Coturnix japonica: one gene and its partner. Each later gene encodes a partner of the first gene's protein in a complex. Links are inferred from orthologs where the notes say so. Each region holds a gene or a part of one and is shown on either strand. Other genes may lie near its edges.

What was found.
Region 2: CACNA1C (region 1) and CACNB1 share a complex: the UniProt entries of both Homo sapiens proteins name them as parts of the calcium channel complex. The link is inferred for Coturnix japonica from reciprocal best matches to the Homo sapiens genes CACNA1C and CACNB1.

The regions. Positions count from the first base shown.
Region 1 is NC_029516.1:51,535,159-51,542,411, reverse strand, and holds the start of CACNA1C (voltage-dependent L-type calcium channel subunit alpha-1C), read left to right. Parts: upstream 1-2,766; 5' UTR 2,767-3,272; coding exon 3,273-3,402; intron 3,403-7,253. UniProt on the Homo sapiens protein: Pore-forming, alpha-1C subunit of the voltage-gated calcium channel that gives rise to L-type calcium currents. Mediates influx of calcium ions into the cytoplasm, and thereby triggers calcium release from the sarcoplasm.
Region 2 is NC_029542.1:3,800,819-3,807,600, reverse strand, and holds the end of CACNB1 (voltage-dependent L-type calcium channel subunit beta-1), read left to right. Parts: intron 1-745; coding exon 746-765; intron 766-924; coding exon 925-1,005; intron 1,006-1,096; coding exon 1,097-1,155; intron 1,156-1,440; coding exon 1,441-1,550; intron 1,551-2,212; coding exon 2,213-2,364; intron 2,365-2,448; coding exon 2,449-2,544; intron 2,545-2,622; coding exon 2,623-2,808; intron 2,809-3,683; coding exon 3,684-4,055; 3' UTR 4,056-5,570; downstream 5,571-6,782. Other genes in the region: dickkopf-related protein 3-like, read right to left, coding at 5,793-5,847, 5,964-6,159, 6,365-6,542. UniProt on the Homo sapiens protein: Regulatory subunit of L-type calcium channels. Regulates the activity of L-type calcium channels that contain CACNA1A as pore-forming subunit.

The DNA of each region.
Region 1 (7,253 bases):
GGGTCAAAGCAAACCTTTATTTCCAGAGCTACAGTCAGTTTCAAGGGCAAGTCATTTTCCAAACAATGCTGACATCATTTATAAACATATATTTTTTTCCTTAAAAAGAAATAAAAAAGAATTAAGAATATTTTAACTTTAAAAAGGTTTTCAATAGCATATTATTATTTTTTTCTTCTCCCTGAAGCCTGAATGTGTATTATAATCTGAATGATGACCCCAAATGGACTGGAAATACATTCGCAAACCTGAAATAAAATTGTTAATTTGCAACAATTAAAGTCTAAGCTGTTTGAATATACGTATATATATGTACGTATGTATGTACACACTTGCTGTTGTAAGAACAGACACCTTAAAAAATACCAGAATATGACCAAGTTGTTTTTTCCATCTTTTCATTTGTATTTGCCATCATTTTAGGGACAAGCAACTTCCTCATTTTTTCTACACTACCTCTTTATTTCTGAAATATAAAAACCATTTAGAAATAAGTAACTGTAAGGTGCACCACTTTTTTGGAGTTTCAGATATTCACATTTACAGCATATCTTAAATATTTGCTTTTGCCGATTTTTCCCATCCTGTTAACATGTAATATTCAACACATTAATAATATTCTCTATTTCTCCATGACAATTCCTTTTTGCTATACTCAGCTGTGACTCTGACTTAAATAACACCCTCTCTTCTGTAGAGTTGCTGCTGGAAATTCTTAAATACATCTAATTTAGATGAATACAATACAATTCAACTGACACAGCAAAGATTTTTACTACTCTCACAAAATCTCAGATGAACAGTATTAAGTTTATTCCAGTTGTGGTAGGTTCACACTTGTGAGTAGACTATACTTTCAAGTCAGGCTTCAATAGACATCTGCACCTTGTAGCATTTATCACTCACATATGACTGCTGCACTTTCACTTGTTCAAAATGGAAGGATCATCACATCTTATCATTTGGATATAAATTTAAACAAGTGTTTAAAGAATACCTTATGATCTATTTTCTTGTGTAAGTTGCAACATCATTATTTCTTCCATAAAGACAGAAGTGCCGCCTCTCTGAACTACCTTACGCTTTCTTTCTTTTACCATATACATGCACATCTTCTAAAAGCAATTTTAACCACTGAAGTTAATTATTCTGCTTTCCATAGTAGTTCAGTGACTTTTCTACTTTCTTCCAACACAAGTGTAAGTTCTTGTACAGTGGGAGAAACAGAACATACTTCTAAAATCAAGTTTGTCATGGCAAAAATAATTTAAACCGATACAATGTCCTTGTTTTAAGCATGTAATCCAACAGGTGACAGCATCACAAATTATAAAATTAATTTTATATTTGCATCTAGAGATTTCAAAATACTGAAACAGCACTGGCGCAAACCCTAAAATTCATGAGCTGCTGAGTACAGAATTTAGAGGTACGTTTCAGCACAGATTTAAAACCGTAACTGTGCACTGGGTGATCTTCATTACAGCAATGGCATATTTTCATACAGAAAGTGAAAGTGCATCATTTGATTTTACTTTGGAAGTACTACACCACATGTATGATCCTTTAGGAATAAAATATTAAAATCATCTTTTGCTTCCTCATTCTGTCCCCTCCTCCTGCTTTTAACTCTTAGTGTCAATCTAAACCTTAACTTTGTTTTCTGTGCAATAAAGACAAGCCAGGAAAAACTAAAAGCCACCACAAAAGGAGAGAGACAACAATTTAAAAAGAAACAAAACACTGCGAGCAGGTACCATACTTTACATAAAAAGACATTGTTCCTTCTTTTCTAATTATGAAAACCTGTCTACTGAGAGATGCTACACATTCCTGCGTAGAAGATTTAGTACCGTATGTCATAAAGCAAATAAACCTGAAATTTTACAGAAAGGCAGTTTGTTTGGCAGAGAGAAAAAAAATCGGTGGAGTTCATCAAACTTAAAATCTATATCCTGTCTAAGACAATGAGCAGCACCAGATGATTCACAGGAAGAACCTTTATAGTCCCTCTGCTGTTGACTTCTGACCCAAAGCATGTGTCTTACATCACTTTTTTTTTCTTCCTGGCTACAGGATCTCTGGCTGCTTTTATTCATATAAATAATCTCTCTGCTATGCAAAAGGATTACTGCAAGAGGCTCTAAGAGGCTTAGGAGTACATACGACCAAAATAATGAAGCTAGCAGGTACAAGCCTCATTTTTGGTGAAGACTGATTAAAAAAAAATATTTTATTCCACTGAGATTTTAGATTTTATCAAATTTTACCATAACAAGCTCTGCTCTGCAAAATCAACAAAGGAGTTGCAACCAGAGCCATTAAAGTAGAGCAGATACCAAATACTAAGCCCAACACACTTCGTAGTTTGTATGCCAATTTAGACAAAAAAGCAGCACTGCATTTGCAGTCTTAGTGGAATTCCACTGGAACACTAACACCGGCTTTCTGTATGTAACACATTCCTTGTCCTTTAAAGGGTATGCTATCTTATACTTGCAAAGGGTTTCTTTTTCTCCTCCTGTAATTGAAGAATATTGCTTATTTATGATTTAAGGCTTGTTTTGACGAAGACGGAGCTGATGAGGCACTCAAGAGCTTGTATTAAATCAGTAATAGACAGAAGTGGGCAGCTTGTATATGTACTGTGGGATACACTTGTTCCTATATTTATCTTTCGTGTTTTGAGAGAAGGTTACAAATATTTTTATATATATACACACACACACATAAAAGAGCGAGAGCGAGCAAGCTCACATTCCAAGAGAAGTTTTCTGGCTATGTCAGGACTGAAGTCCACCCCTTGTTAGACAAACCTATTTTTTTCAAACACAAGAGGATATTATCAGAGAAGTCCGTGCTGATACACAGAAACCAGAGATCGCCATGGCTCCGTGAGGTGACGAGCTGACGGGTGGATGGCGCCCATTATCTCCACTTCTCAGTCCTGAAAAAGTTTTCCTGAAAAACCACAAGGGGAGGAGAAGGCTCCAACGGAACATAAGGTACACAAGACAAAAAAAGGATTAGGAGAGAGGAGCAAGGAAAGGAAGAACAGTGCATTAGATATTGCGAAGGCGTCAGAGAGCTGGAAAGTAGTTTCTAGATGAAAGAACCAAGTTGTTGGTAGCTCTGGTTTTTGGTTTTGCACAAGGCTGTTACATAAAATAACTCTGCATTAGGAAACAATTGTCTAAAAGGAATTTACCTCCTTTATACTGAGAAAATATATTCAAGCTCGGTGGTTTCACAGCTCCTTGGAATTTTAAACTATGTTTCAAGCCTTGGTTCGGCAAGCATACCAACCGCTATCCAGCCACCAGCAAGGGGAATCTGAAACGAAGTACAAGGGGAAGCTGGTGCATGAAACTCAGCTCAACTGCTTCTACATCAAACCTGGAGGTAAGGGAGCACTATACATTCGTGTGCATGCAAACCGTACTGGTATCTATCTGCATGGAGAAGTATTCGCTTTCTACATAAACAGAACAGTCTGTATGATGTATGGAATAGCACTGGTAATGTCAGTAAATAGGTGGGGATAAGGTACTGCAAATTCCTGTATGTGTGGCAAGATTTAGGCAGTTTTGGTAATTTTCACATCTGTGGAGCTGAGCAAACAGAAAGCTTCTCTTGTTAACATACTGTCTTCTGAGCATACGTTGAAAGTTGCTTTTTCACTACCACTTTCGCACTGGAGTAAAAACTAAAGGCACAAGAAAGGCACAGTGGTATAAGGAACGAGAAAATAAAGAGGCTAAGAGATTTAGAACATACAAAAGTTCAAAGTATTAAGTATATACCTATTGTGTATGGGAGTGAAGTCTAAAAACCAACTAGTTCTACAATATAATCTGTCACATAATGCATTTACAGTGGCCTGGAAACATCTAGTATTTTATGCTGTGCAGGGTGGTTAAGTATGAAAGACAGAGTGTACAGGTAGTCACATGAAGATAACCCTCTAAAAGTAGAAAAAATCCATTCCAACTTTAACTCTTGAGTTTTACTGCATCATATGCCTATCTTATCTTGAAGAGATGTCCGGAATTCCCAGTGCTGGCAGTACACTCTCAGCAGTAAACGTCCAGACCAGCTAAGATGTTGCTTATGTGACAATATCCATAAATGGGAAGCAAAGACCGCTCAGCAGATATACACAGTATGAGACTCCTTCCTTTCTGTCCACAATACCATCCACAATTGCCGGATGCCTGATAGATGCCTTTAATTCTATTCCATACATTTTTCCTACCAATTTGCTTGCCTGGACAGAAAGAATTCCACCATACTCAGAATAATTATCAGCCACTAAAAAACTACTAAAAAGCTTTGTTACCTTAGCTCCTTAGTCTGCTTTTCTTCTCATGATATATATTCAAATTGGAATCCATCATCCTACATAGTTGAAAATTTACATTAGCAGTACTGTACTTCTTTCCTTGTACCTTTTATCACCATCATCGCAACTGAAACTGATAGAGCAAAAAGATGGCTGCAGTCATTATGGCTGCAGGACCTACTAGCCTGAGAAAACCAACTTCACAAACACAAAGTGTTATAAACTGTTTGCTCTTCACAGCCAAAGTCTTCCACAACTGAAAGCAAATCCTTACGTAGGACGTGTGAAGAGGAAACAACAAAACTGTCCTTAAAGTCCGAACTGAAATCCTGTATAACTGAGCTGGGCTGGGCTGGGTGAAAGGGAATATGGTTTTGCCCATTAGAAAAGATGTCTTGAGGCTAAGGTCTTCAATTTCCACTGAAAAACAAATATATTGTATCTGTAGGAAAGTGTGTTGAATAAGAAAAAGAGAAGGAAAAAGACACTTCAGAAGTACAAAGAGTTTTGCTTAAAAAACCCCACAAAAACAACCCCACAAGAACAACAAAAGGGAATGGTACAATTTGTTCTCTTGATTGAAACGCTAAAAATCCTCAACTTACAACCACTGAACTACACTTAGTTTTCATGATGAGAACAAAAAATCCAGCATACTGGAAAACAGGATCAACCAAAACCTGCTGATTATTTATTTTCCAGTAATTTTTTCATACATATATATATATATATATGCACACATATATGTGTGTGTGTGTATGTACATGTATATGTACATACATATATTCATACATACACATATATACACATACATACATATATTCATACATACACATATATACATATGTATGAATGTATATGTATATATAGACACACACAAACACATCATTTCTTAACAAATAAACAACCAATTAATCCTGTCCCTTTTCAGAGGTCACACTGTAAAAATCCAATCAATTTCCATGGCATCAAGCAGAGTTTAGCTATAGATTTCAAAACCAGATTCATCTGGTTGTACACTCTAAAACATGCATGCTAGCTAATTGCTAGAGAAAAGACAGGCCTTAGAAGTCTCCTGTCTTAGGCCAGCACTACTGCACACCCATCTACACTCGCGTGCAAAATACGGTTTAATTATGCTATAATGTTATCATATTGTTTTTACATCTCTACAGGTAAACTTTAGGGATTTGTAGGTAGCCTTGAAAATTAGTATGTGAGAGAGAAAGGCCAACATTTGATATAGAAATACAACTACTTTGTGGTTTTAAGCATGAAAGTGAAAAGCAATACCACTTCCTGTAGTACAATTATCAGCAGTTGTAATTGGCGTACAAGCTCCTTATAAGACAAAAAATATCAAAATGTACAGTCACTATGCAACAGACAAGTAAATAAACAAGAAGGGATAAATTTGCTTGGAGAAAATTTGCATACAACCAACTATAAGACACTTAAGGCCCACAGATGCTAAAACAGGTTTTTAAAAACATGCATGCAACATGACTGTTAATCCTGTCAGTCAACTTAATTTTCTGATTTTAGAAACAACACTGCAACGTTAATGTACTTTTGGTATGAATATTTTCCTTTAAAAAAAGGAAAAATAACATCTGTTAGGACGTTATTTTAATATATAACATTAGAATTTGACTGTTCTCAGCAAAACCGAGGTTTCAGTAAGAGGTGAATAACATCCCTAGAGGACAATCCTGACCTCGGCTGCTGTTCCTGCCCAGCTGGAGGCAGGATGAATTTTTGTCATGTTGATCAAAGGAGAGGTGGTGGGAGGCAAAGGAGGAGGAGCTACTTGTTTATTTTTCCAAGAGAAAAATGTCTCCCAAGGACAGTACCTCAGGTAAAACACACACATTTGTATTCTGAGCAAATGTCAATGGTTGATCCAGGCAAGCTTTCAGAAAAAAGTCATCCAAATCTGGTTAGCAAGAAGAGATGTATAATACTGAATTATAGAATATATAATTTATAACAGAACAAGAATAAATTTCAAGGTAAAGCAGACACTTATTCATGCCATATTCAGTTTTACACATCACTCAAATTCTATTACTGTGGTCTCGTCTTTTTTTCTAGGGAAGTACATCTCTCATATTCTAACCAAGCTGCTCCTTACAAGAGAAATATTACCATTAGTCTACCTGTGGGATCAATCAGTCTTCCAACATTCCTGCAGAATCAGGACACGTTACCTATTCAGTATATGTTTATATACAATATAGAAATATTGGAAGAGTTAACGAAAGGGACCTGAATTAGTCTCTCAAGAGGATGAATTCTTCTGTTTAAGACTTCTAATCCCACCTACTAGAAGTCTTTGCAGTGTAGAAATATAGGAAATCGATATCAATTGTTTAGGGTTCTGACAAACATAAAGTGGCAAGTTAAACTGGACAACTGAAATTACTACGAGGCAGCTTTAAACGAGCACGTCTGGACTGCCTATGTAGCACTTCCTGGACTAATGCAAAACCTGATATTCATATAACGTGTCACATCTGGGTAGAAAGCTTCATTCACTTTCAGTCTTACTAGATAGTGCGACGAAAAGCCTTGCTACAGATGTGACTCACAATGCACAAATGGGCATAGAATCTGGTCAGATTCTATTTGTAGATTTGGTGAGAATATCTGTAGAGCTTTCACTGTTTCTTTCTCCACTTCCTGTAGTACAGTAATCAGCAGTAATAACTGGCATACAAGCTCCTCATAAGCTGGATCTAATATATTTTTCTGGCAGCAAAACACACAAGGTGTACTGAGCTCTAAGATACGCAACTTTCCTCAAGTACTCCATGTCTTATAAGCATGAAAAACAGTATTCAGTGATGAAATGGTACATCAGTCAACCTAAGAAATAATTTTCTCGCCCAGCATATAATCACATTCACTC
Region 2 (6,782 bases), on another chromosome or scaffold:
TAGGAAGGTAACAGAGCCCAATCTGGCCCACGCCTGCCTGCTGCACCCTGCCTGCCCTAACACTGCCAGGGGCTACGGGGGGCACCGTGGGGTGGATTGGACCATAGCTGCTCCCTCTGGGATCCACAGGATGGATCATTCCATGGATGGATCCCTCTGTCATCCATGGGGTGGATCATTCCGTGGCTGAATCCCCCCATGGTCCATGGATGGATCATTCTGTGGCTGTATCCCCTCCCCCATGGTCCATTGGATGGCTCAGTCCATGGCTGTATCCCCCCCATGGTCCATGGGATGGCTCAGCCCATGGCTGTGTGCCCCCTGATCCATCTGATGGATCAGTCCGTGCCCCCCCTTCCTCTCAGGGCCCCCCGGTGTGCGCATGGTGTGTGGCACAGCTGTGTTTGTCTCCCCTGCAAATGAGAGTGGAACATTCCTCCCCCCTCAACTGAGCATGGTGCTGGGGGGCTCGGGTGCAACCACTGTGTGGGTGGGGGGGTGCTGAGGTGCTGCTGCCCCCCAAAGCCTCGCAGAGCCCCTGCTCACACCCCAATGCTAATCAAGAGTAGGATAGCATTAATACAGAATGAGTCCACTGGCCCGATCTCCCTTTGCCATTGGAGCTGTGCCCCCCCTGGGCTCCCTGGTAACCCCCCAGCCCGGTTTGGGGCCTGAAGCCCCCTCCCACAGTAACACGCATGCCTTGTTTGTCTCCCCCTGCCCGCCCCGGCGCCTCGGGACGTAGCGAAACAGAAGCAGAAATCGGTGAGTAGCGTCGAGAGCCCTGGGTTTGGGGCAGGAGAGGAGGGGGGAATGGGTTTGCTGCCACTCCTGGGGCCTCCCCATCCCTTGGCATCACCTCGGGCTCCTGCTGTGCCCCCTGGCCCAGCGTGAGCCCCCTGACCCCCTGATGCTGCCCCACAGACTGAGCACGTGCCGCCCTACGATGTGGTTCCCTCTATGAGGCCCATCATCCTGGTGGGGCCATCGTTGAAGGGCTACGAGGTGAGGAGCGGGGCTGGGGGGGGAACCCAGGGTGGGGGACACACAGAAGATGATCACAGCAGTTCCATGCGTTCCTCCTCCCCTCCCACAGGTGACAGATATGATGCAGAAAGCACTGTTTGATTTCTTGAAGCATCGCTTTGATGGCAGGTGAGGCAGGAGGTGGCGGGGCCTTCTGCCACTTGGGGGGGCACTCAGTACCACTGGGGGGCCCTCAATCTCACAAGAGGGGCCCTTACCCCACAGGGGACCTCTAAGTCCCATTGAAGACTCATAGCTCTATGGAGGCCCTCACCCCCTTCCCTGGTTTGAGTGGGGTCTGCCCCCAAGGAGGAGACTTGGGGGTAGCTCCCAAGAGCTGGGGGGAGGCTCCTGTGGGAAGCAGATGTTTGATGGGGGTATTTGGACCCCCACCAACCTGTGTCCTTCCCATAGGATCTCCATCACGCGGGTGACAGCCGACATCTCCCTCGCCAAGCGCTCTGTGCTCAACAACCCCAGCAAACACACCATCATCGAGCGCTCCAGCACACGCTCCAGCCTGGGTAAGGCAGGTGCAGCATCTCAGCCACCCCCAAGCTCCCATCTGTATCAGCCCAGCAGCCTCCTGCTCCCATCCCCTCCCTCCTGGGACGCTCAGTGTGTGTCCCTCCTTCCTGCACAGCCCCTCCACACTATGGGGTGATGGGTGCGTGGGCCAAAGGGCACCTGGGACCCTCGGCTCCCACTCTCAGTTTGACTCAGTCTCTCTTCCCCTCCTCCTTTTTACCTTCTCTCTCTCTTTTCTTTTTCTTTCTTTTTTTTCTTTTCTCCTTTCCCTTTTGGGGTTCCTCCCCTCTGCACCGCTTCCTTCCTCCCCTGCTCCTGATACAGATGTCTTGGGTATGTAGCGTGTGCTCCTCGGGTAACGTGGGGTTGGGGACAGCAGGGGGTGCAGCCCCAAGGGTCCCTGTCCCCCCCCAACCTGCAGGGTCTGAGCGCAGCCTCTGCAGGCACCCACCCAATGCATGTGTCTGGGGGGGTCTCAACCCCTTCCTGCCCCAGCAGTGCCACCTCCCATCCATGGGCTGGGGTGCTGCTGGTGTGGCTGAGCCTCTCCTGGCCCCATCCTGCTCCCCACACCCACATCTCCAGCAGCTGTCCCTGCAGCCCCCCCTGTGCTGTCCCTGTGCCTTCATGACCCCCTTCTGTCCCCCCACTCTGGCAGCTGAGGTGCAGAGTGAGACGGAGCGCATCTTCGAGCTGGCCCGGACCCTACAGCTGGTGGCCTTGGATGCCGACACCATCAACCACCCAGCCCAGCTGGCCAAGACCTCCTTGGCACCCATCATTGTCTACATCAAAATCGCTTCCCCAAAGGTGAGGGGGGGGCCGTGGGGTGGGCAGGTGTGGGACCGAGGTCCCTGTGCCCCCCACCCCCCACCGCCCTCCATTCTGCCCCAGGTGCTGCAGCGATTGGTGAAGTCCCGGGGCAAATCCCAGGCCAAGCACCTCAACGTGCAGATGGTGGCCTCCGACAAGCTGGCTCAGTGCCCCCCTGTGAGTGCCCCCCGCCCCCCCCCCGCCTGCCCCTGTAAGCCCCCCCCCCCCCTCACACTGCACTCTCCTCCCCCCCAGGAGATGTTTGACATCGTGCTGGACGAGAACCAGCTGGAGGAGGCCTGTGAGCACCTGGCCGAGTACCTGGAGGCCTATTGGAAGGCAACTCACCCCCCCAGCAGCAACCCCCCCAACCCGCTGCTCAACCGCACCATGGCCACAGCCGCCCTGGCCGCCAGCCCTGCGCCCGTCTCCAACCTGCAGGTACAGGTGCTCACCTCCCTGCGCAGGAACCTGGGCTTCTGGGGCCGTGGGGGCACCGACGCCACCCCCAGCCCCCAGGAGGAGCACGCGCTGTGAGATGGAGGCAGGGCACCCGTGGGACCTCCCCCAGGGGTCAGGGACACCCCCAAGGGTCAGGGGCACCCTGTGTTTTGGGGACACCCCAGGGAACAGCTGCATCCCTGGGGTTGCCCCCCTCCTCCAGGGCTGTGCTCCCTGCTCCATGGTTGATGCCACCCCTGTGCCCCTGGAGTCACCCCCCTCCCCTCCCTACTGCCCCAGGATCTGCTCCCCCACCCCAGGTTTTGGGGCCATCCATCCCCCTGTGGTGAGGTTCTGCTCTCCCTGGATCAGGGTCACCCTTTGGGATCTGCCCCCTGGGGTTGGAGTCTCTCTGGGGATCCATGTCCCCTCCTCACAGCTCTGGGGAGCTCTCCTGGGTTAGTTCCCCAGGGAACTTCTGGGGGGGTTGAGCCCCTGGACACCCCTGACCCCCCTGGGTCTGGCAGAAGAGACCATGTCCAAGCCAAGGGGGGCCCGCAGCCCCCCCAGGGCAGCAGGCAGAGGAAGGACGTGTGTCCTGTGTTGTCTGTCGCTGCACTGCCCCAACCCCACCACCTCCCTGTTGCCCCCCATACCCTCTCACTGCTCTGGCCCTGCCCTGGTGCCCCCTCCCCGGTGCTGGATGAGACCCACATCTGGGCTGCATGGCACGGAGTGTACAGACCGGGCTGGGGTGGGAGCGCATGTGCCCCCCCCTTACTCACCAAGCCCCGCAGTGTGCAGCATCTAACAACCCCCCCCCTCACTAACCCATCCATCAGTCCTTGCACGGTGTGGTTGCTTCTCCCAACCAGGGTACCTACCTGGTGCACGGGGAGCCGCCGGGCGAGGGGAACCTCCGGGAGGGGGGGCCCATCCCACCGCCTGCCCGCTCGGCCCCCCCCCGCCGCCTGTCCCGCCAGGACACCTTCGACTCGGAGACCCCCGGCAGCCGGGATTCAGCCTGCACAGAGCCCGGCAACTCCTGTATGGACGTCGAGACCGATCCCGGTGAGGAGGACCCCCGAGCCCCCCCAGCCCATCGCGGTGCGTGGGATGAGGAGCGGGGCCAGGGACCACGGGGACGTGCCAAGGGCCACGACCGCTACTGCCCGGAGCCGACGGAGCCTTTGGGTCTGGACCAGAGTGATGCAGAGGGCTGGGGCCAGGAGGTTTACATCCGCTAGGGTGGGGGGGGTGTAAGCAGGGATGCCCCCTCCCCACTCTGCCCCAGTGCTGTGGCTTTGGGGCCAGGGGTTGCACCCCACTGGGTGCCTTCGCAGGCCACGTGCCCAATGCCTGTTCAGCTGTGCCATGGGGTGTCCCCCGCCCCACTTTTGGTATTGAGGAGGGAGTCTCCCTCCCACTGCAGCCCCCCCAGCATCCTGCGATGCCTCGGGCCTTTCCTGTCCCACAGGGAGAGCAAGTGACCAAAGGGGACATGCCTATGGCTGGTGTGTCCCCGTCCCCTATGGCACAGGGTGGGGGGCTGCGCTCTCCTCCCTCCCCAGCCCTTTGCCTGCTGCCTGCCCGCAGCCCCCTCCCCAGGGTGCACCCGCTTCTTCATGGTGCTCTATGCCACCCTGCTGCAGGGGGACCCCTGAGCTGGTGTGTGTTTGGGGGGGGGTTTCTCTGCCTGCTGTTCCCTCCCCAGCCAGTGCCTGCCCTGTAGCTGTGGGGGGGGTGCATGCGTGTGCCATGTGTGCAGGGTTTTGGGATCCCCACTGGGTGCTGCCTGCCTGGGGTGGGGAGGGGGGGGGGGCATGGTCTTTGCATGTGTTTGCATTGGAATGGGGGTGGGCTTTGCCTGTTTTTGGTGTTAGGGGGTGAATCTGAGCCAATCTGGGTGGTGGTGGTGGGGGGGTGTTTCTAACACGTGCTAACAGCTGCCCCAGCCCTGGCCTGACACAGTGCCCAGCAGGTCCCGGGGGGGGTCCTGTGCTTACCCCTCCCTCCCCCCCCCTTTTCCTGGGACCATGGGGCGCACTGAGCAGCACCAGGCCCTGCCCCCCAGCCCTGCCAACCCCCTCTGTGCCACCCCCTTTCTGTGCCCATCTGCTCTTTCCCCATCCAGCTGTGTCTGTGTGCCTGTCTGTCTGTCTGTCTGTCTGTCCCCCACCTCAGCTCCCCAGGGCCCTGCCTTCACCTGCGCCCACCCTGGGGTGTCCCTTATCCCTCTGCCCCTATAGGGGTCACAGCACTGCAGTGGGAACACCCCATGGCCAACCCTTGCAGTGGGGCTGGACTCACCTCTCACCGATGCTGTGGGGTGGGGGGGCCCTGGTGTTGCTGCCTTACCCACACCACCAGCCTTGCCAGCCCGGGCCGGGGGGGCTCCGGGGCTCTCAGCTCTGCCGCTGCCAAACCAGCTCTGCCCGTTGTGTGCCTCAGTTTCCCCTTTAATGCTGGGGGGGGGGACTCGGTGTCACTGCCTGCCAAGTGCTTTGAGACCCACCTGCACCGGTGCTGACCCCACCAGGGCCGGGCAGCTGGGCCCCCCCCCACCCCCCTTTACAACCCCCAGCCCTCCTGAAGGGCAGAGGGACGTCCCGTATTTATGTCATCCCCCCAAGTTTATTTAAAGACCCCCGACAAAGTGTCTTTTATTTATTTATTCTCCTTTAATGTGTGTGTGTGTGTGTTTGGGGGGGGGGGGACTCGCCCCGCTCGCTTGGTTCTTTGTAATAAACAATTCAGTGAGATCTCCCCTTGGCTGTGCCTGGTGGGGGTCCATCATTTGGGGGGGGGGTCCATCATTAAGGGGGGGGGGCTGAGACCATGCACAGCTCAGCTCTGCAATGACTGCAGCCTCCCCTGGGGGGGGTTGAGAGCAGCCGGGTCCTGCCCAGCTCCTGGGGGGGGACACGTCCTGCTTTATGGGGGCTGTACATCTATTTACATGGAATAAATACAGCGCTGCTGGCTCAGGGCTGCCGGCACCTCCATTCGCTCTTCTCTGGCCAATATTCAAACGCTTTCCTGCAGGGAGACATGAGGACATCAGTCCCTGCTTTAACCCCCCCCCCCCCTTGGTACATGGGGACATCAGACCCCTCCCCACGGGGCTGCTCAGAGCCCCCCATGGCCGTACTCACTCTCGTGGTGGAGGCGATGCTCGGCACACCAGCCCAGCCTGGCAGGGGCAAACCTGGTTGATGCTGAAGGCCAAACCCCCGGGGGGCACATGGCAGCTCTGCCCCAGCTCCAGCCGCTGCTGGCACAGCATCTCACCGTGTCTCCGTGCACAGCAGCCGCCCGGCCCGCAGTCCTCATCCCTCTGGCACCGAGCTCCTTTGGGGTCGGGATAAAGAGGATGTTAAAGGGGTTAAGAGCCCCCCAGCCCCGTGCCATGAGCCCTTGGGGGGGTGGGTTGCAGTGTGTCCCGGTGCCCGCAGCAGCTCTGATGGAGGATAATGGTACCAACCCCGCCTCCATCGCATCCCTCCGCTCCCGGGGCTGCCCCCCAACCTCCCCCCTACCCCGACCCGCTGCTCACCCTCCTGCCCGTGGGGCACGGGCTGCTGGCACTTCCCAAAGGTGCAGAGGAGCCCGTGGGCGCAGTGTGTGTCCCGGCGGCAGTACTGCCCTGCGGGCCGGGTGGGCAGGCACAGCCCGAAGTGCTCATCGCAGAAGTGTCCGTGGGTACAGGGGGTCGTGGGGCCGCACGGTGTCACCTGCATTGGGGAGAGAGCAGAGCTGTGGGGTCAGGGGGGTCCGGATCCATCCCCACCTCTGGGATGGGTCAGAAATGGGTCCGGAGGGGCAGAACGGGGTGGGATTGGGTTTGGGTTCTGCTAATGGAGCCGGGGCTGCTCAGGGGGGTTATTTAGGAGCCTCGGGGTCCTCGGGCACCATCCCTGGAAGAAGGGCAGGATGAAGGAAAATAAAACCCGGAGCGTAACGAGCCGGGGGTG